Linked DNA regions of Oreochromis niloticus. The protein of the gene in region 1 interacts with the protein of each later gene in a pairwise test. Links are inferred from orthologs where the notes say so. Each region holds a gene or a part of one and is shown on either strand. Other genes may lie near its edges.

Region 1 (10,173 bases):
TGAACCGGTCTGAGCTCGAATGTCCAGAGCCTGTGTGTAAGTTTCAAAAGCCAGAGGAGGTCTTGCAGCTGTTGGATGTGGAGGACGCAAAGCTTTACGTGGACTTCATGGTGCTGGGGGTTTTCTTCCTGATCCTCAGACTCGCCACTTACCTGGTTCTGCGCTACAAAGTCAAGTCAGAGCGTTAAGACGTCCAGAGGCACATTGCTAATGGATATGGATGCTCGTGAATATCCCAGAAGTGTGAGATAGTAAGAAAACCTATCGTCTCTCTTTTTCGGTTTCCACATTACAAAATCAATCGAGTATGTGCTGCACCATTACTCAAACACAGATTGAAAAAGTTTACTGATAAGAAAATGAAAAGTTTCAACTGTGAATTGTTGTTCCCTGCACACCGTTACTGTATGCCAGGTAATGGTCACCATCACCTTTCATAAATACAATAAAAATATTGTTCAGTGGCACCATGAGTGGACAGAACGTCCCCCAAAAAAGCAGATCGCATGTTTCATTAAACTGAGAATTTTAAAAATGTACTTTTTTTGGTGACTCCAGGAAAGTGTTTGTAACTTGGAGCTTCTTAATCCAGTGCCTAAAAGGTATTTCAAGGCCCACATCAGAATCTGCTTAATTGACACAAAGAACAGCAGCCATCAAGATGACCCTGATTTCAAGTCAGATCCTCTGTTATAGCCAACAGAAAAGTGGAAGCCTTTTTTGGGGCTCATCTCTCTCTCCTGTAGGATAATCTTGTCAGGTATCCTTACCAAAATGCACGGCGTGGCGACTTGTCTTTATGGAACAGAAATCGACTGCCAGTGGATGACTCTCCTCGCTGTCTGTCTCCAGCGAGGATCATTTTCGCAGGCCTTCTGCCCCAACGCTCACAGTGATGGGACACTTTGCCTCGGATGAAGAGCTTGTGAATATGTTAAGCAATGTGTCTTACACAAAGACTGACATGGATTCGCCCCGCATCCGGCCCTAACGACTCCTTACTTGCTCCTGCACGTGTTTGCTTCTGCCACAACTCGGGAAGCATTGAGTGAATTGGGAGCGACACGTGAAAGCGAGTAAGCTGTTTGCAGCCTGATGCAGCGGGCCGTCTTCATCGCAGACAGAATAGCATTTTAGGTGAAGTGCAATAGCATATATTATGGCTAAAAAAATAGCAAAAAAAAAAGAAGAAGAAGAAGAAGAAGAAGAAAAGTGTTGTTTGTCTAATCAGTGTCGCTCTTTTGACACAGTTCTTTGAAATGCTTGTTTCCACTCGTATGACTCTTTAGCTGCCTCCTCCCTGAGCTGAAAAAGGAAGTCCCCTCCTCCTTTCCTCCTCTTTCTCTCTGCTTTGCTGATGTCTGACAGATGCGTGTTGTTCAAAACAATGTTAGATACTTGAAATGCTGGCTGGGCGGTTTTTGTGCCTCTGAACTAGAATGATTTGAGTTTTCTCTGCTTCCTTGTTTGCACATACACTACACCTTATATCTACATACATACTGGCTCTCTATTTCTCTCTCTTACACACACACACACACACACACATGGAAGTACATTACACACATATACACACACACACACATCACCATGGCAATGTTTAGAAGAGCCTCTCCTAGTCACAGGGCAATGCAAATATTTTCCAATAGACTTGCTATGAAATATTTCTTACTCCAACTATGCTACTTAGTAATCCTTATTATAATACTTCAAATAATGTGAGTATATAATCAATGATTGTACAGTGAGTATGTCATGCTGTAAACAAATGTACATTTGCACTTTTCAGTGTATCTTTATTGTTTTTTCTTATTTATTTGTATTTAGTTTTATTTTTTTAAACCTACAAGATGAGTGCTGCTTGAAAGCGCAACGGGGGAAAGAAAACGGCACTTGGATGTTGCATGATCATCTTAGGAGTGAAATTTATGAGATATTAAATTTCAGAGTATGGGACAGTGGTTTGATTTCCTCATCCAAACATATCTGTCCCGCCACGTTTGAGGAGATGCAAATCCTCCGCTCTCCAGTGAGCATTTCTTTTAGAACATCTGGAGTCACGTGTGCGTCACTAGTGCGGCTTAAAGATGACACGATCAGGAGTGAAAAGAGGTGACTGTACGAGACGTCTTGGATGGAAGAAGGCAGGGATACTGAACAGAGAGCCAAATATGTCATTATGTAGCTAAAGAGGTTCACAGTCTCTTTGGGAAGCAGCTGGATTGGAGAGCGGATCACTAATCACTGATCTGCTTCGCTGTTCAGCACACGCACAGAGATGGCTGTCATTAATAGCAATAGTTCACATCGTGATGTTTACGAAACCTCCTGCAGTTTATAAGGTTTATGTTCTTCTTACCGGTTCTATTATGTGCAATAACCACACAAAGGCAACTCTGTGAGACCAATTACATGAAATGTGATGCTGAAATCAGAGCTTTTTTTGTCGTTGTTGTACTTTCGTTGCTTGTGTTCAGTGACAAAAGCTAATGTAGGGAAATGGATTGTCAGAGTGATTTAACCTGAAGGACCAAAGCGGGATCATAAAATTTATTCTAATATCAGGATAATTATAGAAAAATGCATGGAATGAAAAAAAGGTGTTTAAACTCAATTTTCCTACAAAAACAGATGAGATGTGTTTTAAGTTTCTCTAAACTGGAAGCAGAAACTTAACTGCAACTCCAACGACAACCAACGGACAGTCATCAAGTCATTGAACAGTCTGGGGGAGTTTGGGGCTTAGATGTTAAGCCCCGCGGTACCAAAGACGAAAACAAGTCTCCCTTCTTCTCCCCCAGAATGTACATGCAGTGTCCAATGTTCCCGTTAATTTTCTAACCAAAATAAGTCCTCTGCGGACACATTAACGAAGTCTGTGGTACACTCAGTTTGTCTGGTAGCATCCCTGATTAGCTGATTATAAATGAGGTATGGGAAGATGTGAGATATGTGTAAGCGTTATGAAGTAGCTATGGAAGTGAATTTGCAGGATGCAAGGTCACTTGAGCGCATGTTGACGTCACACTGTTTGCTCTTTATCACTTTGTTAAATCATTTCACAGCTTCATCCGTTTGCTCATAAGAAGCCACCAGGCTTATTGTGCACTCGCATGGTAAAGAGTAATATGCAGGCTATCCCTACAGAAAGCTTGGACTGTCTGATTAAAAATGTGTGATGGGATTAGAGGTAGTTGTTTTATCTGATTTATGGCTTAGAGTTTAATTTCTGATTTTAAAAAAATGCAAGTTCTGTATACTGAACGCTGTTCCGAGGATTATAATAAAGATCATTTATAACCTTTACCCTTTCTTTGTGAGATGATTTGATCGGACACTGATCGCTGATACTTTTTCCATAACCATATTTATACACTGATGAGTAGCAAACACTTAATTATTTGTGATTCTTTCCAGTGCTCAGGAGTACACTCATCATGAGCATTTTCACAATACTCTCTTAGCTTTAAATTTACATTAGAGGCATTTAGGTAACCCAGTAGTAGCTTGGCTGCTGTTTCGTGCCATGTATTGATACGAAAACCTCTTGAAACAGCTTTTTCAAATACACTCTAGCTGGGGCTACTAGCCCTGGTAAGAATGGCAGGTGTGCTTTAAAACATAAATCATAAAGCTGAGGGGCGTGTAGGACACATCAGGAAGAACCAGAAAATGATTTCCACATTTTATTGCACATTTTATAGCTCCGAAGCTCCCCAGTCCTGTTGACTCGGAGGGCAGTAATTGCAGACGGGCACAATGTAGCAGGATGAGAGGGACTGAAGTGTTTCCACAGATGTACATAATGGGTTTATCCAGAGTGGTGAAGCAGTTCAGTCATAAATTACATTCCTCATCTCAGCAGAAGGTGACAAAAGAAAAGCAGCTTCAACGTAAACGCTCTTTTTCCACATTCACTGGGAAAATATTTAGTTGGGGCTGAATAGGAAGCTAGATTTCAGACTTAATCGACTCTCATTTTTTTTAAAATAGGGAAAAAATACATGAATAAGCATGAAGAGAGAAGATATTCCTTCATTTTCTTTTGCTTATCCAGTTCAGAGTTGTAGCGGGGCTGGATCCTGTCCCAGCTTTGACCGGGTGAGAGGGAGGTTACACCGAAAACATAAAGTTCTTTGAGAGTGTTGCACAGCCTTAGAACGGACTTTAATAACTTGAAGATGATAAGGCTCTGCGTTAGCACCTTGAGACAAATCAGCGCACTCGCTGGCCAACAAGGCAGCACTATAGCTAGTAAAGGAGCTGCCTGCCTGCTACTTTGCTCACCTAAAATCCAGCAAACCGAACAAGCAAGGCAAGTTAGACTTCACGACTGTACTCACAATAATGGGGTCATTGAAGGTAAATGCTAGTGTGAAATTCTAATGTGTTTCACTGTTTGATAAACTGGTCAGAGATGAAACTCATTAGGTAGGCTTGGCGATCCCAGCAGGCCCGATATCCCATGACCTCTTACCTGCAATGATATATAAATAAAACACATAAAAGTGGTAGAGGCACAGCATTAATATTCTTCAACTCCCACTGAAGCTTTATTTAATGAACTACACGGCCTTGAAAGATAAAGACGGAGAATGATAACACAGCTCTCTGCTGTTAGAGCTCTGTAAAGTGCAGCTGGTGTTTCAATGCTTGGAGGGCTCTCTGAGTCTTCCCTATCACCACACAGTGAAGATGATGTTCAAAAACACCTCATGATAAACTCTTACACAGCTACCTGCAGATCTGTAGGCCCTGATTAAGGATACAGTCATTTGTAGCATTTAATGAAATGCAGATGTGGCTCTAGAAGTTCATTAGAAAAGAATGGTGGAGGTTGCATTAGCTTCACTGGACTGTGCCTTACCAGGCAGTAAGTGCAAAGATGTGCCTCAGGTTGCTAATGTGGACCTCCACAAAGCTGACCACATAACTGAGCATGCCACGCAAGGTTACTTTATGATGAGAGACCGTAGTTTTCAGTAGATGGTAAAACTTCTAATTACAGGGACGAGATCTTAGTAATCAAAAAAGGGGTCACTTCTTTTTTGACAAAGTAATGCTATATAAACAAATCATACTTGGTTAACAAGAATTTCACTCACATGTGCTGTACCAGTGTACCAGAACATGTGATGTGACAATAAAAGTGATTTGATTTGATTTAATGAATTCAAAACAGTACAAACAGCAGTTGAATAAAATAAATAAAAATAATAATAAAAATTAAATAATCAAGGAAGCTGAACACGTTATTGTTTTCAGTTCAGTTTAGTTTAAGTTAGATTCCACAGTTTGCATACTACTGTTTTAATTAGTACCTGCATGATTATTTAAGATCAGTACAATGTTCTGATACAGACATGTGGCTTCCAGTCATAATGATACTCCAGTATCAGTAGACATACTGGTTCATGCCAGTTTTGTTGACAAAATGTAATCAAATTGACAAAAACTAACTATTAAAAAATTGTGGTTTTTTTGGTTAGCTTTTTGGTAGATGCTATGATTCTTATAGTAGTTTTCTTTTTCCACTAATAAAGAAATAAATAGCTGTCCATTAGTCCAAATTATAGGTTATCATCTCAAAACTTTGACTCACAAACTTCTGAGAAAATAACTCAGAAATGAGGGGGAGAAAACTTCCCAACTGTTTTCAGTTACTTTACAAAAAATAAAGGTTTTTTTTTTTTTAATTCATTTTACCTTTAGTTTTTCACACTTTTATGCCAAGGGAATCGACACAGAAACATAAGCAAAATCCCCCCCGCTTAGCTTCCGGGTTGGTTTTCCGCGGCTCCTTCTGGAAGTTTCATCTTGCCGTATATTTCATCTTTGTTGTAGACCGGCATTTTCCCACAACACCCCGCTCCTGCTCGCACAGATGACGAAAATGGCGGACAACTCATCGTCGGTAGGCTTAAGAAAGATATAATGTTAATATAGGCACATTGACCGGTTTCAGAGTATAAATTAACGTGTTGTTATTTACAGGTCGAGATTGTGGAGGGCTGTCGCCTCCCGGTTCTTCGTAAAAACCAAGAACACGAAGACGAATGGCGTAAGTATTGTCCGTTTTTCTTTCAATGCTAAGCTAATGCTAAGGAGCTCAGCTCAGCTGTTGTTACCAGAAGCCACGGCCTCCAGTTAAAGCGCTGTAAACACCATGGCCACAGATGGTGCATGCAGCTGTAAAGTGTGAATGAATTAAATTTGAAGACTTAAGAAAGCTGCTGCCACTCTCTCGGAAATTAAATTGCCAACTCTTAAATTTGACTTAGTTTCACGTTTTGTAGAAAAAAAAAAAGTACTAAATGCAGGTGGCATCAGTGATGTTTACAAATTTGAGAGCGAATTTATCAGGTTATCTCTCTTACTCTCTTGGCACTCAGTTTGGTCCATAGTAATCTAACACTCCTTTTTAACACATTTAGGCAAAAATAAAGAAAGAAATTAACGAAATTAAAGCACAGGTGGTATTTAAACCAAATTTAATTGGGCATCGCACTTAGACTTTATAATCCTGATACCTCAGCATAAATAATTACATTTTAGGACATTTAAAATCTCCCATTAAAGTAGATTTTATGCACCTTTGGTTTATTTTTAGCATTGAAATCTAAACAGTAACTTTTATCACATATCACATGCCTGTGTATTTAATGTTAAGTGTGTTAAAGCTCCAGTGTTTCATAGAAAAGCATCACAACGATTGTCTTCATTTGAGTACAGTTCAGATAAAATGTGACATCTCTGCTTTGTACAGCACTGGCTGAAATCCTGAGTGTGAAGGAAGTTTCTGGGAGAAAGCTCTACTATGTTCACTACATTGACTGTGAGTATATTTTGTGTCAGTCGTCTTGGTTTTTCTCAAGATTTGATTCACAGCCCCAGTTTAGTAAACATACATCAAAGCTAATTACACCTTTTAAGGTTTGTTTATTAAGTTGTTATCTAAAATTGCAAAGCAGATTTTTATTTATCTAGTAGTTCATTGATTTTTTTTTTTTGTCATATTTGGATCAATTCAAAATTATAGCTTTGTACCACATAGCTTTTGATTTATTTATTTTTTCACCCACCGTTTCCTGTCATGCTATAAGCTAAATAACTTCACACATCAAATCACCACTCTCTCTCTTTGTCTGTGTATTTAAGTCAACAAACGTCTGGATGAGTGGGTCACAACAGAAAGGCTGGACATGAAGAAGCTTCAGTTCCCCAAGAAAGATGCTAAAACACCAACCAAGAATGGTCTTTCAGGTTCCCGTCCTAGTTCTCCGGAGGGAGGGAGAGAGAGAGAGAGAGAGAGAGAGAGAGAGAGAGAGAGAAGTGGTAAGGAGTCCACGTGTGATTTAAAGCAATGTAATTATGATTCTCACAGTGTTAAGAAATGACGTCAGTCTTAATTTCTGTGTTGTGTGGTTTTTATTCATTTTATAGAAAAACCTGCATGATGGTAAATTTCATATTTGTTGCTGTTCACTTCCATTGATGCATGGTATAAGCGCTGCTTTCCATGGTCACTTTAATAAGCTGCAGTGTGCTTTATGCTGCTTGAGCAGTGATTTGTAACAGTCTACCCACAGGAAATGCAGCCATAATAACAATAAAAATATAGATAAATAAAAGGGCATCATGTTATAGAGGACCCTGTTTTTAACAAAATATCAATATCCTCTTTTTTCAGTCTTACATTTCTGTGTTAATACTTCTTTGTGTCTAATTTTAAATCAAACACATGCCACTGAAATGGTGAAACGCTCTTTTTATGACTAAACCTTTAGTTCGATTTTGTGTGAATTGAATTCCTCAGAATTAACCTGAGGGTTAACATGAATTATGCCAGTGTTAACCCGCTTCCTTCTCTTCCTTTCCGTTCAATTCAGAGGAAGAGTCTAGATCTCAACGTACAAACTGCCACAGCTCCTTCCAGAGGCAAAACCCTCCCCACTCCGGTACAAGTAGAATTCACCCACTCCACAAATTACTGAGATCTTTTTAAACCTGGTGTCAATGTGATTCTTGTGTGATGGCCCCACTGTTAATGTTGCCCTGCATGGGAATATAAAGCTATGCAGAGCTATAAGGTAAAGTAAGTCACATCTGAAAGACGTTTAATATAGAGTGTATCCAAATGAAGATTTATAATAGGAAGTGAAGCCCATCTGTTGCCATCACATTTAATACCAGGTTTAATGGGGTGTATTTACATTGGTTAACCTGCAAATTATCTGAGATTTGGAGAAATAAATTGATTTGCTGTGGCTATTAAAGATGCACAGTCTTAGTTCTGTCTGCATACAAACTGCTGAAAAAGCATCTTGATATCAAGATGTCACTCTTCATTGAATACAAATGGAGTCCCCTGCTTTTAATCAAGCCTCTGATCAAGTTGACATGAAAAAAAAAATCCCATCAAATTCGCCTTTGTTTGGTTTGTTTGTATTCGATCTTAAAGCTGAATGTCTAACACTGTTTGTTTGCTGCAGAAGAGGAAAGTAGAGCCTGCCCCTGTGGCTCCTCAGGTACCCCCGGTCACCCCTGTGCCCTCCCTCCCAAGTTCAGCTGAAGCCACTCAGGCAGCTGTTTTTCCTGCCGTGAGAGAGACGCCCACCTTTAAGTCCCGTGAAGACCATGAGCTCACAACGGTAAAGAAAATCCTCTTAAATTCTCTCTCTGTGTTTTTTTTTTTTTTTTTCTTTTCTCCTATTTGCTAATGAATATCTTTTAATGTCCTACTCACAGCAGAATGGCAACGCCCGACGACTCATCCCTGCTCCACCTGGGAGGAAAAGGAAAGCTAATTGTGGGGGAACTGACGAGGTACGTTACCTTGATTTACTGCATGTTTGTGGTCGTGTTATTCGCTTTGTTTTTTAAATTTGTTAAGAGTCTGTGTTGGGTTTTGTGGAGTTGTATTAGAATGCATTTTGCAAAGTCAAAATGCATGTGCAGAGTGTCACAGTCCGCTTACTGGAGCATTCTCCGGTGCAGCTGGTGACATTCATTAAGACTGGTGCACGGTTCTTGCACAAGATCTATACTGTTGTAATAGGACATATTTGTTTTATTATGGGGACCTATTGTGCTTATTTCCAGCACCATATTTTAATTCTTGGACTTTATTAAAGTAGCTTTGCATGATTCACAGTTCAAAATAATGCTTACTTATCCTGTATGGGGCCCTGGTGCAGCCCCTGAGTTCATCATCTGTCTGGAATGAGAATTATTAGCCTTGTTTCTCCTCCATTTAAGTCCGCTTTCTTTTGATTGGCTGCTCCTTGCCAAAAAAATGTTTGAGCAGCAGGTGGACGAGGTCTCCATGACAACTAGCTCATGGATATCCTTAGCAATGCCGCTGTCATCACGCGGATTTAAGAGTAGAAAAACTGTCTGAAACAGCGTGTGAGCTTTTGCCTTACAGCAATCATTTGTACATATGTTGACCTTTTGAACTCTGGCCAAATTTATTCTGACCATCCACATCTGTAAAGGTGTGCATATACGACAGAAAATAAGGAAAAGAATAATCGCTATCCCCCCAAAAAAACTTTGTCTGTACCCATATAAAATGTCAACATCACTGCACAGGATTCAAATGTGATAAATTATTGTTCTCATGTATTTGTTTATAAACCCCACGTGCAATCATAATGATGAAAATGTTTTGTTTTTTTTAAAGATTGCTTTGTCATTCTTTAACTTCCCCCTTTCTTTACCCTTTATATATATATATGTGTGTGTGTTTCCCTTTTCATTTCTCACCCACTGTTTCCCTTCTGACCACCACAAAACAATTCATTAGTGTGTTTTTATGCATTGATGTGTTCTTAGCTCGTTTTTATTGTGGTGTTTAAAGCAGGGAATTACATTTGCAGCTATTTGGTTATGGCTTGTTAGCTTAACGACCCTCCTGAAAAAGAACTTGCTCTTTATTTATTTATATTTAGGTTGTTTGATTACTTTGTCATACATTTCATTCTAGCTAATGGGCACAGTAACATATATGCTGGCAAATATTGAGGACTGTATGTTGTGCTTTCATATATTTTTATTTTTCAGCATCAGGTCTGGTTAAATTCTGCAGCTTTTTAAAATATTCAATGAGCATTTCATTCATTCTCCTGTGTGGGTCTATGTATTTGAGTTGATGTGTGGCTCTTTAAAAAC
Region 2 (10,330 bases), on another chromosome or scaffold:
ACACACACACGAAAATAACAACAAAATGGCACACAACAAGAATTATATACAGTTTTTAAGAATAGTAATCATTAATGGATACCTTTCCCTGCTCATGATTGAAAATGCAGCATGAAAGAAAAGAAAACAAAGAAACAGGCAATTGTTAAGAAATCAGAGACAGGAGGCAATGTTATTAAAAATCCAGCAGAGGGCAGCAGCATGCTGCAAAATAAAGACTAACACAGCCACCATGCCAGACCTCAGAACTGCAGTACATCATTTTAAACCAATGAGTAAGGACTCAATACAAAAACAGCAAAAAAATTCAAATATGGAAAACAAAGCAGCTTATTCAGTCAGAAGTTATGAAGAATATTCTGCAACTCAACTAAACTAAATTTCACTCAATGCAAGAATTCATCACAGCACACTTCAGTTAATCTTAAACAGAGGATTTCCACTCCATTTAAACATTTTGGCATCCATCAGGAGAGTTATCAAGATTGTGATACATAAGATATGATCCGCCCCCCTCCATTTAATAAGTGGTGTTAAATTTACTTAATCTTAAAATACATTGTGCTTGTCACGATTCAAAGTAACTCAAAAATTGGGAAATGCAAAAAAGAAAAAGAAAAAAAAAAATCCAATCACATTTACATGCCATCCAAAGGGAGATTTTAACCTAGGAAAAAGCCTGGAGATATTTCATTTCACATTTAAATAGCCTCATTAGAAACATGCTCTCACTGAGGACCTCACACAAATTACAAATGTGAGCTACATTCTAATAGAAAGAAGAAAAAAAATCCATGTCCAATTAAAAAAAAAAAAAAATTATATGAGCTTAAAGTGAAAAATTACATTTTTTAAGTAACATAAAAAACAGCAGGCCAATGACATTACATTTGTTTTCAAAACTGATTGAAGAAGGCAGTTACATACATTTTATAGTTCTGCCATTTTCAATTTGGCCTTGTGCTGTGGACACTGACCTGCCGTTGTCTCTGCCGACACCCCAGACACGGATGCTGCCAATCGGCTGAGCATGAAGCAGAGTCTGGCCCAGCGGGTCGATCAACTTCATGGTGTCATTCTCCAGGACCATTAGCATGTCTTTACCCTGTCACAAAACACGTTTCAGTTTGACGAGTCAGACTAAGCACACATTTCTCCAAAATGTTATTGTTACCCACGGTACTTAAAGTATTTCTCTGAAATTCAAAACACTATTTCAGAAATGGAAATGGAGCATTATCAATCATTTTCAAACCATCAAAGACAAATTGTGGTTGGAACCAACCACTAAATGAAACATGTTCTGCCCTTCACATTCAAAGAAGTTCTTATTAAAAAAAGAGCATTACATAAAATGTCATGAAGATATCTGTGTGCGTGTGTGTGTGTCATTACAATCATCTTACCTCTCCCCAGATCCCAGCGGTGTCATGAAGGTTGTGTTTGTGATAAGAGAGCTGCCTGATGCAGTTGTTGACAGCGACGCTACTCTTGCCAGGTGCCATGTCCTCTTCAGACATCTCAACCCAGCCCAGAGAGCGCACTGCGAAACACTGACAGTACAAATGTGCTGCATATTAGTTTAAACTAGGACAAAAAAATTATTTCATGTGCAGAAAACGATTAATTTTTGGTAGGTAGGTAAATAAATAGATAAATAACCAACCCCTCTACACATTTCATATGTCCTAGATGTCTGAGACGCATTCTAATGACACTTTTCTGTGACAGCATTTCTAAAAGGAAAACTGAGACCAAACTACTCTGAACATTTTGAAAAAATCTAAAATTAAGCAGTTGATTTACCTTAGTTTCTAAGTCTGTGCAGAGTGGAGCAAGCTTCTCTTCATCCTCAGACTGGGAGCAATTATAACTACAATGACAGAAAATAAAGTTAAAAATCTGCAAAATTAACACTGACTAATTAGAAAGTTTTAACACCACATACTTCAGGTTGATAGATGCATAGCGTAAAGTTGCTCCTTCAAACTCCTTCAGACTTTGATCAGATGCAACTTCTCCCTCCTCCTAAAGACAAACATTTATGTGCAGATGGAGCCATTTAATCACAGAGCGTATGTGCATGTAAGGTATGTAAATTCTGTCATATTGTTACTAGTCTTAAATGGGAGAATGCCAAACCTTTTAACAGTGAGCTAGTCTTAAAGTTTTAAAAAAAAAATCAAGTTTTAATTCATTCTAATGAATTAGGGTAAATATTCTCCATAAAAAACTGTTTGTATTTAGCGTGCTTTTAAGCCATTAATCATATTCTTTAATAGTCAGATCTTATTTTAAATGTCACTGAAATGTGTGGCATAACACTGCACACTCTCTTTGTGAGAGGCCTGCTGCTACCTAATGTGAATGTTTACACCTGAGTTTGCCGAGTGTCTTGGCAACCTGCTGCTTGATTGTTAGATACTGTGTTGTTATTTTTTATTGATTATTGCACTGTAGAGGCTGACGAGAAACAACATTTTGTTTCAGCCTGTGTATTTCTGCAAATACCATTCGAAATGACAATAAGCCATCTTGAATCTAGTAACTATCTAGGTTTGTTTGCAGATTCTGAATAACATTAAATGTGCTAACCAACAGCTTTCATTCTTCAGGGAATGTAGTTAAGCATTGATTTATTTGAGTACTACATACAACTATCCTTGTTCTAGATCAAAGTACTGCAGAACATCTGTCTTACTTTCCACCTTATAGATTCATAAAATGAAAAATTTGTCTAACTAAGCGATGACAGCAACATTTAATCTTCTTTTGGACTCATTATGCACATCCATACTAAATATACTCAAAGAGGTAAGCTGAATAAAACTCTAGCCATGATTTACCTTCCACAGTTCCCCTTCACCAGCACCTTCATCAGTGCTGGACAGTTGAGCCCAAGATTCCTGGAAAAATGTGACAAGACTTACCATTAGCAACAGTTTGACTTGTCAGTGCCTCTGTCAAATTAGGATGCTGGTTAGACCTCACCTCAGGTTCCTCACAGGGTGTAGTCTCCAGCGACATCGTGGACGACATCATGGAGTCCCCAACCTTACCCAGCGGTGAAGGAGGCTCCCACTGAGTGGTGCCTGTGGGGATGTGCCAGTAGTACGTGCCTGATGTATCTCGCACCCTCATCCATCCTGAGGGCAGGTCTGTGTCCGTCTCAAAAGCGCTGGAATCCCAGAAAGACTCTGAAGGGCGGGAAGTAGGAGACCAAGGTTACTACAGGTAACGTCATCTCAACTAAAAGCTAAACCTTTGTTTGGAAATGCATATTAACTATCTAATTAACAAAGTAAAATAAACATTTTACTTTTTTTGATTTGGTCAACACGACCAGCCTTGGGAAGCTTTGGTGAAGATGTAATAGCTGTTCTGCTTTCTAAATTTTGCCCCTGAGAAAAAACACCAACCTAATATTGCAGTATTTAAAAAAAAAAAGGCTAAAACTAATAATAACTAAAAATAATTAGTTCTTTAAGTAATAAAGTATAGCGTCTGACAATCACACTGGAATGTAAATAAAGAGATGATAATTCACTATTTCCAGGAGTCTATCTTCTTTACCAATATGTTTAGCAGCCAAATCATCCTGTGTTGCTTCTATTTTGACCATTTTGGCTTTTCTTGTTAGCTGCAGTATGATGCTAATAAACAGAGTGCATTCTTCAGATTTTTTAATATCTGCACAAGCTACAACATATAAAGTTGTCTAAACACCTTCTGTGTTTTGTTTTGTTTAGTTTAGTTTTTACCTCTGTTGCCATTTGGAGAGCTGTCAGCTGTGTTGTCCTGAGACAGAGCAGGCCAGCTGGACTCTTCATCACTTGGTGTCCCGTTCATGTTGGAAAATAGCAGGCAAGCGTTCCTCCCCACTCTCTGAGACTCCACATTACTCTCTTCATCTGCCAGTTTCTCTCCTCTGGTGCCACCTGATGTTTCTTCATCGTCTTCCAATTTACTTTCCTTCTCTTTATCATCCTCTTCTCTCTCTTTATCTTTCTCTTCTGTGGACTCCAGGGTGTCAATGAGAAGCGGCTCATTAAGGATGTTATTTGACTCCTCCTGACTGAGACCAGGGGTCATTGCTATTTTGGGAGACTTGGTCTGCTCCTCGTTACCCTGTTGATCTTCCTGAGTGGTGTTCTGGTGAGGGAAGTCTTCCTTGTTCCCATTCTGATTGATATTGCAGTTGTGGTCTTGGTCCTGCTGGTTCTCCGCTACTTTCCGCAGCTGGTTTTGGCCTTCCTTGACCCACTTGGCATTGTTGCCGGTGGACTCCTGGTCGCACCAGTGGCTGCCGTCATTCAGCTTATTCTTTAGCTCTTCGTCTTGCTTCTGTTTATTCACAACATATGTCATATCTTCATCATCATGACCACCCATGGTAACTGTCCATGTACCTGCTCTGATAGAGAGGGGGAAAAATACATTAGCATTACCTTTAGCATACTAGTTAGCAGTGATTTTAGCAAAGATTCTGATCAAGGTTTCTCAAATATAGAACGATCGCTTGATACAAATGTATTCAAATGTTTCACAGTCGCCGTTAAATGTTAAATTATCAGCGAATTAATAACGTTTAAATATGAAGGATGAAGTCTGTTTCTTGTTCGTGTATTCCGGGATGGTCATTTTACTCGCAACTTTCTCTGTTTGGTTTCTGACGAATACAAAACGCACTTCAGCAGCTTCACCTTCCATTTGCCAACACGACCTTTTTCCTTTTTAGATAAACGGCCCCAGTAAAGAGCCTGTATCAACCTGGGTCATTATTTAGGTTCGCTCCTATGATTGTTTAATAAAACCTAGGTAAATACCGTGGTTTTACTTGTTAGATACCATCGCCGCAGTTGGAAATAACGGGCACCGTCCGCCATCACCGACGTCTTTGCTAGGCTAATGTTAGCTTCTCGGTTAGCTAGCTAACATTTCCAAACTGCAGAAGCAAAGTGACTGCAGCAGCACTGATTTTATTAAAAAATGTTGACTCACCAGCTCACCAAACTCCTTTGTCGTCGAAATGCGCTCAAATGTGTAGAATAACTACATATTTCCACAGATCGTGAGGGCTCTCGCTCGGTTTCTAGGTGGTGTTTTCTGTCAGTGGGCTCGGCTAGTGATGGAGGACGAACCTGCGTCACGGATTAACGTCACGGCCAGAGCCCACTACTGCCACTCAGGCACAGAGCAGGAGGCAGACCTAATGAAGGAAAACCGGTCCTTCACACTGTTTTTGGAAATATTGATTAGGCGCTGAGCGGGGGGATTACCGAACGGACATACAGCTCCCGGTCTAACCCAGAAAGAAACCATAACAAGTAAAATAAGAAAAGAAGGCATGCAAAATAATCACAGGGAGATGAAGATGACATCAAAAAGACGCAAAAGGTGGCCAAAAACAGGCTCAAATTGAATTTAACAACTACAGAGAGATGCAAAAGTGACCACAAAACACCTGAAATTAATAAAATGGCCAACATTAGACGCAATAAAAGAATCAATAAAGAGCTGCAAAATCGCACCACAAAGACAGAAGGGTTACAAAAAGGTGCAAAAATACAAAAAGAATGAGTGAATTTTTTTTATTTATTTATTTTTTTTTTGCATCTGGGTGTATGGATCCTTGGGGCCTTTTTCCATTTTTTTGTCTCTGCATTATATGGATTGATACATTAAATGCGTTAAATGTTCATATTCATATTGGCAGAGCACTTTTTAATAAGCCCTGCTTTTATCTGTGTTAACATCCGTTGGCCAAAAAAGTACTAAAGCAACACTGTAAAATACTTTGCTGAGTAGTAGCAGTGGTAAAAGCTTGAAACATATTTTTTTAAAAGCCAATTGTATTTAGGTGTCTCAACTCCACTTATATAATTGAATATAACAATGTATTGCTACATGTCACTGGACACGTTTGAAAGAAAAACTGGCCTTAAATGAAGAAAGTACTGAAAACATTTAGTGATTTTGGTCCATACTGACATGACACTGACATCACACACTTGTTGCAGGTTTGTCAACTGCACATCCATGATGCAAATCTCGTTCCACCACATTCAAAAGGTGCTTTTTTCCACTGACATCTGGTGAGTATGAGGCCATTTTGAGAACCCATTGTTGCATTCAACAAACCAGTTTGAGCTTTTGGGACATGACATGCTATCCTGCTAGATGCACTGCCGTGATAAAGGGATGAACATGGTCAGTAAACAGACTCAGGCTGTGGTGAAGGTAGTAATTGGCCTGAATATTGCAGCAGAAATCAAGACTCATCAGAACTGTTATTGTCTAATTTTGGTTAGCCCAAACCCTCCGTTGCTTGTTCTTAGCTGACAGTAGTGGCACCAGACACGATCTGCTGCTTTAGCCCATCTGCTTCAAGGTTTGCTGTGCAATCAGAAACCCTCTTCTGCATATCTTGGTTGCAGTGAGTGGTTATTTCAGTTACTACTGCCTTCCTATCAGCTCCAAGCCATTATCCTCTGACCTCTGTCATCAACAAGGCATTCTCGCCCAGAGAACTGCTGCTCTTTTTTTCCCCAGACCATACACTACACCAAATTCAAAGTGACTTAAATCATTTTTCTCCTGCATTCTAATGCTCAGGTTTATCTAAGCTTCACCATGTTCATATGCCTAAATGCACTGGATGATAGCAGATATATGCATTAGCAAGCAGTTAAACAGGTGTACCTGGAGAGTATGCCCGATACTGGGAAAGTATGCTTTCTAAAATAGTGATAAACCCTTAACTCTATTATTGCCTCATACTACTCATTGATGTTTTACATTTCTGATCAAATTTGTATGTCGATACTGATACTGACTGAGATAACGAGACTCAATACTACAGAAAGCCCTGTTCCTCATAAGATGAATGTTACATTTAAATGTCAATACCCTGAAACTTATGTCGCCTCTCTTAAAGAGATCTATTTGCAATCTTTATACATTTTCCACAATAACCCTGTCATGTCCAGTTCCCTCCAGAAAATGCCCACATTCAAGTTGTCCATATGTTCTATTTTTTAATATACTTATATATAAATACATACATTTGCATATGTCATTCTTGATTTTGGCTTCAGCACAAACAAGCAAGCTGGTGGAGGCACAGAAAAGACTGAAGTAAAACAAACAAAAAAACCTTGAGTGGGATATAAAGCAAGAAGTAATCCAGTGGATCAAATAACAAATGAGCGAACACAAACACATGTTTAGTCAAACCCTTGATGACAACCAAGAAACTGGGGGAAGTGTCCCTGACAACACCTAATTTTGACTGTATCTATCTTATGCTTTAATAAATTACATAATAGGATGCAGTTTTCACGTCGGTTCACAAAGAAATGTCAGCATTGAGCCCAAACACTTTCATACATGATGACACAAGCTGACTGACGTTTTTGTTCAACAGTAGAGCAAACAGGATTCAAATAATGTATCAGGGAAAAAATAACAATTACTGAAAGATTAAGCAAATAAGTAATGCCGATTACATTAACACAATTACCAAGAATTCCATTCCATTCTGGGTGAATTTTTCCCAAAAACTCCAAACAGAAAAGCTTTTATGGCCAGTTTTAAATCATTGGGAGGTTGCACAGGATATAGTCGGTCTACGAAAAGGCCAAGCTCATCATTACCACTATGCAGCCCAGCTAAAAGGCACAATGCTGCTTTTTGTACGTGCGCTCAAGGGCACTGCTCATTCATATTGTTTTATTATCTAATACATTTAAATGTTCAGCTTCAAACATTTGATAATATTAATACAACAAACGTATTCCCACAAGCTTTGGGTTAATATGTTATCCGTTTGTTATGGGCCATCATTGCAAAAGGAGCAGTCACCTTAGAGGGAGACTTTTTAATACAGCGAGGATCAGCATGGCAGGCCCACCACAGAAGGAATTCAACAGAATATCATGCTGACCTCCACAGGTTATTCTGTCACTTGAGATTGTACTCAATTCAATATGATTGCAGTTTATACAGTGAACAGTAAATACTATGCTTCTGCAGACAGTGTCAGCAGATCAGTAACAAAAACTGTAATAAAACTTTGATATCACTAACAGAAGAAGAAAAAAAACAAAATATAAAAAGGAGTGATTTCTGCTGAATTCATCTCACAAGCAGAAGGTACAGTGGCGTTGAATACAGCGGTAGAGGGTGAGAATGAGACTTTAAGGCAATATTGGTAAGCACCACACCAACATCTCAGAGTCAAATCTGGGTTAAGATATCCTGTTGTTCATCGGTTAGGTAAAGAAGGTCAGAAGAGGTTTTTTCACTTGTCCTGCATTTTTTCCAGAATTGGCACAATCATGTCAAATTTAGGCCTCTTTGCTGGATCTTCGTTCATGCATATCTTCATGAGCTTGCAAATGTGGGGAGAGATGCCAGGGGGGATAGTGGGCCTCAACCCCTCCAAAGAAACCTATAACCCAGAACATACAGACACATTAAATCCATTAAACTAACAGGTCATAATTGTGAGGTCTGTCTGCAAGCTGCTGATATCCAGTTGTTAATCTAATAAGCAACAGTGCTGCTAACCTTCATGCCTATCTCCATGTTGGACAGGTCAGCAAACGGCACTTCTCTGGTTACCAACTCCCACAGCAGGATAGCAAAGCTCCACATGTCTGCTGACCGGCGGTTGATCTCTTCTGGCTTCTTCTGAAGGGCTGAGCAATGCCAAGAAAAATAAAGAAGGTTATAGAGTAACGTAACAACATGCCACATCCTCAGACTACTGTGGAGAAATGAAAAGTTATTGCAACTAGTGGGGCGGTTCCTTCCTTAGGATGTGCCTAATTTGATATCATGAATAGCTGATCAAAATCACCACCTTGTGTCACATGCAGTGTCATGTCAACGAGTCTGCAGAACTCAGGTACAAAATATAGTAGTCAATGGTCTACTAATCTGCAGCAAGTAATGTCCAAAAAAATACTGCATTAGAAAAAATAGAGGCAATTTCTGTTTCCACTCTTGCAAACTAGTGTCTGCCTACAAACAGCAGCAGAGAAGCAGAAATATATACAGTATACAGTATAAAGTGGGGAATCCTAAGGAATGTATTTTGCACGACAGTTCAGTATTTATCTTAAAAAAAAAAAAAAAAAAAAAGCTTGAACAACATGGAGCTCTGTGGGCTTTTTGCCTGTGATCTAGCATCGTACAGTATATGTTGCTATGGAAACCAAATCTTGGAGATGAAGAGAAACTGAAGACATTTGAGCAGCTGATTTCACAAAGGCAGGTAGCAGGTTACAGATACAAAGCGCAGCACAAACCTAATGTCAGCTTAAATACATTTACTTCAACAACAGTGTCTTGTGCCATCTGTTTAGTCCTATTGTAAAGTTAGTGCATATACATCAGCTTGGATTCCAGGCTAAAGTAAAATCTAACTAAACTCATGCCTCTGTAAGTGTGTAAGTGGCCATGTTTCTTTGAAGATTGAACAGCCTGTTTAAAACCAATTACCAACCAGCCATTAAACCAAATTCCATAATCCTTTAGAAATGACTGAAATGTAAATATCATCATGTTGCAAAAGCAGTAGAAACATATTGTTGCAATTCTTCTGCAAAATGATACAATAAGCAAACTTGCTAATATAAGGAAAATTCGAAACAGTAGTGCATTTCTATTATTACATATTACAAAAAATTCCTGAATATAAAGGCATATTATCAAAATTTGTTACCATGCCAACTCTGTGTATTTGTGTTTTAAACACAAGAAATATTTGCTTGCATATCACAACATACATACATGTTGTTTCTATGTAACTGGTGGTGATAAATATCCTGTATCCCATCCCCCACACGCCGTTTCTGTTTGCTTCTCCGTTGCAAATGTTCCCTGGTTATTTTCACATTTTGTAATCAGTTTATGTTTCCAGCTAACTTTGATTTCAATCTATCTCCTGGGGAAATCAGCTGCAAATTACATTTGGCTCAGAGACAGTCTACAGTTTCCTGCATCCATCATTCAAGTGCAAGCTTGTGTGGCTTCAGCTGTCACTTTGGATCTGTGCTGTATGACTGATGCCTACCCTCAGGGGCTACCCATGCTGGCGAGTACATCCTGCCAGGACACTGGAAGGAAAACTTGACGTCTGCCATGCTGATCCTCGCCGTCATGTCCTCGTCTATCTGTAAAAAGGGAAAACAAAATTGACTTAGATGCCTCCAAAAACTGTACCACACATCTCTTCTTCGTAGTTTTCTTCTTCTTACCATTACACTCTTGCTGTTGAGGTAATGGCGAGGGATCATGGGTTCAAGTGTGTGTAGGAACGCCA

What was found. The genes of interacting proteins can lie anywhere in the genome.
Region 2: the proteins of histone acetyltransferase KAT5 (region 1) and apbb1 interact in binary tests that used the Homo sapiens proteins (3 or more experiments, as listed by UniProt). The link is inferred for Oreochromis niloticus from reciprocal best matches to the Homo sapiens genes KAT5 and APBB1.

The regions. Positions count from the first base shown.
Region 1 is NC_031975.2:11,842,937-11,853,109, forward strand, and holds the start of histone acetyltransferase KAT5, read left to right. Parts: upstream 1-5,775; 5' UTR 5,776-5,884; coding exon 5,885-5,914; intron 5,915-5,994; coding exon 5,995-6,061; intron 6,062-6,766; coding exon 6,767-6,835; intron 6,836-7,158; coding exon 7,159-7,297; coding exon of another isoform or gene 7,298-7,335; intron 7,336-7,885; coding exon 7,886-7,958; coding exon of another isoform or gene 7,959-7,964; intron 7,965-8,492; coding exon 8,493-8,651; intron 8,652-8,748; coding exon of another isoform or gene 8,749-8,751; coding exon 8,752-8,826; intron 8,827-10,173. Other genes in the region: abcg4a (ATP-binding cassette sub-family G member 4), read left to right, coding at 1-188. UniProt on the Homo sapiens protein: Catalytic subunit of the NuA4 histone acetyltransferase complex, a multiprotein complex involved in transcriptional activation of select genes principally by acetylation of nucleosomal histones H2A and H4.
Region 2 is NC_031979.2:28,796,198-28,806,527, reverse strand, and holds the start of apbb1 (amyloid-beta A4 precursor protein-binding family B member 1), read right to left. Parts: upstream 5,171-10,330; 5' UTR 5,002-5,170; intron 4,415-5,001; 5' UTR 4,393-4,414; coding exon 3,762-4,392; intron 3,198-3,761; coding exon 2,992-3,197; intron 2,907-2,991; coding exon 2,847-2,906; intron 2,029-2,846; coding exon 1,949-2,028; intron 1,874-1,948; coding exon 1,807-1,873; intron 1,554-1,806; coding exon 1,407-1,553; intron 1,106-1,406; coding exon 978-1,105; intron 89-977; coding exon 83-88; intron 1-82. Other genes in the region: integrin-linked protein kinase, read right to left, coding at 8,303-8,452, 8,572-8,702, 10,082-10,181, 10,266-10,330. UniProt on the Homo sapiens protein: Transcription coregulator that can have both coactivator and corepressor functions. Adapter protein that forms a transcriptionally active complex with the gamma-secretase-derived amyloid precursor protein (APP) intracellular domain.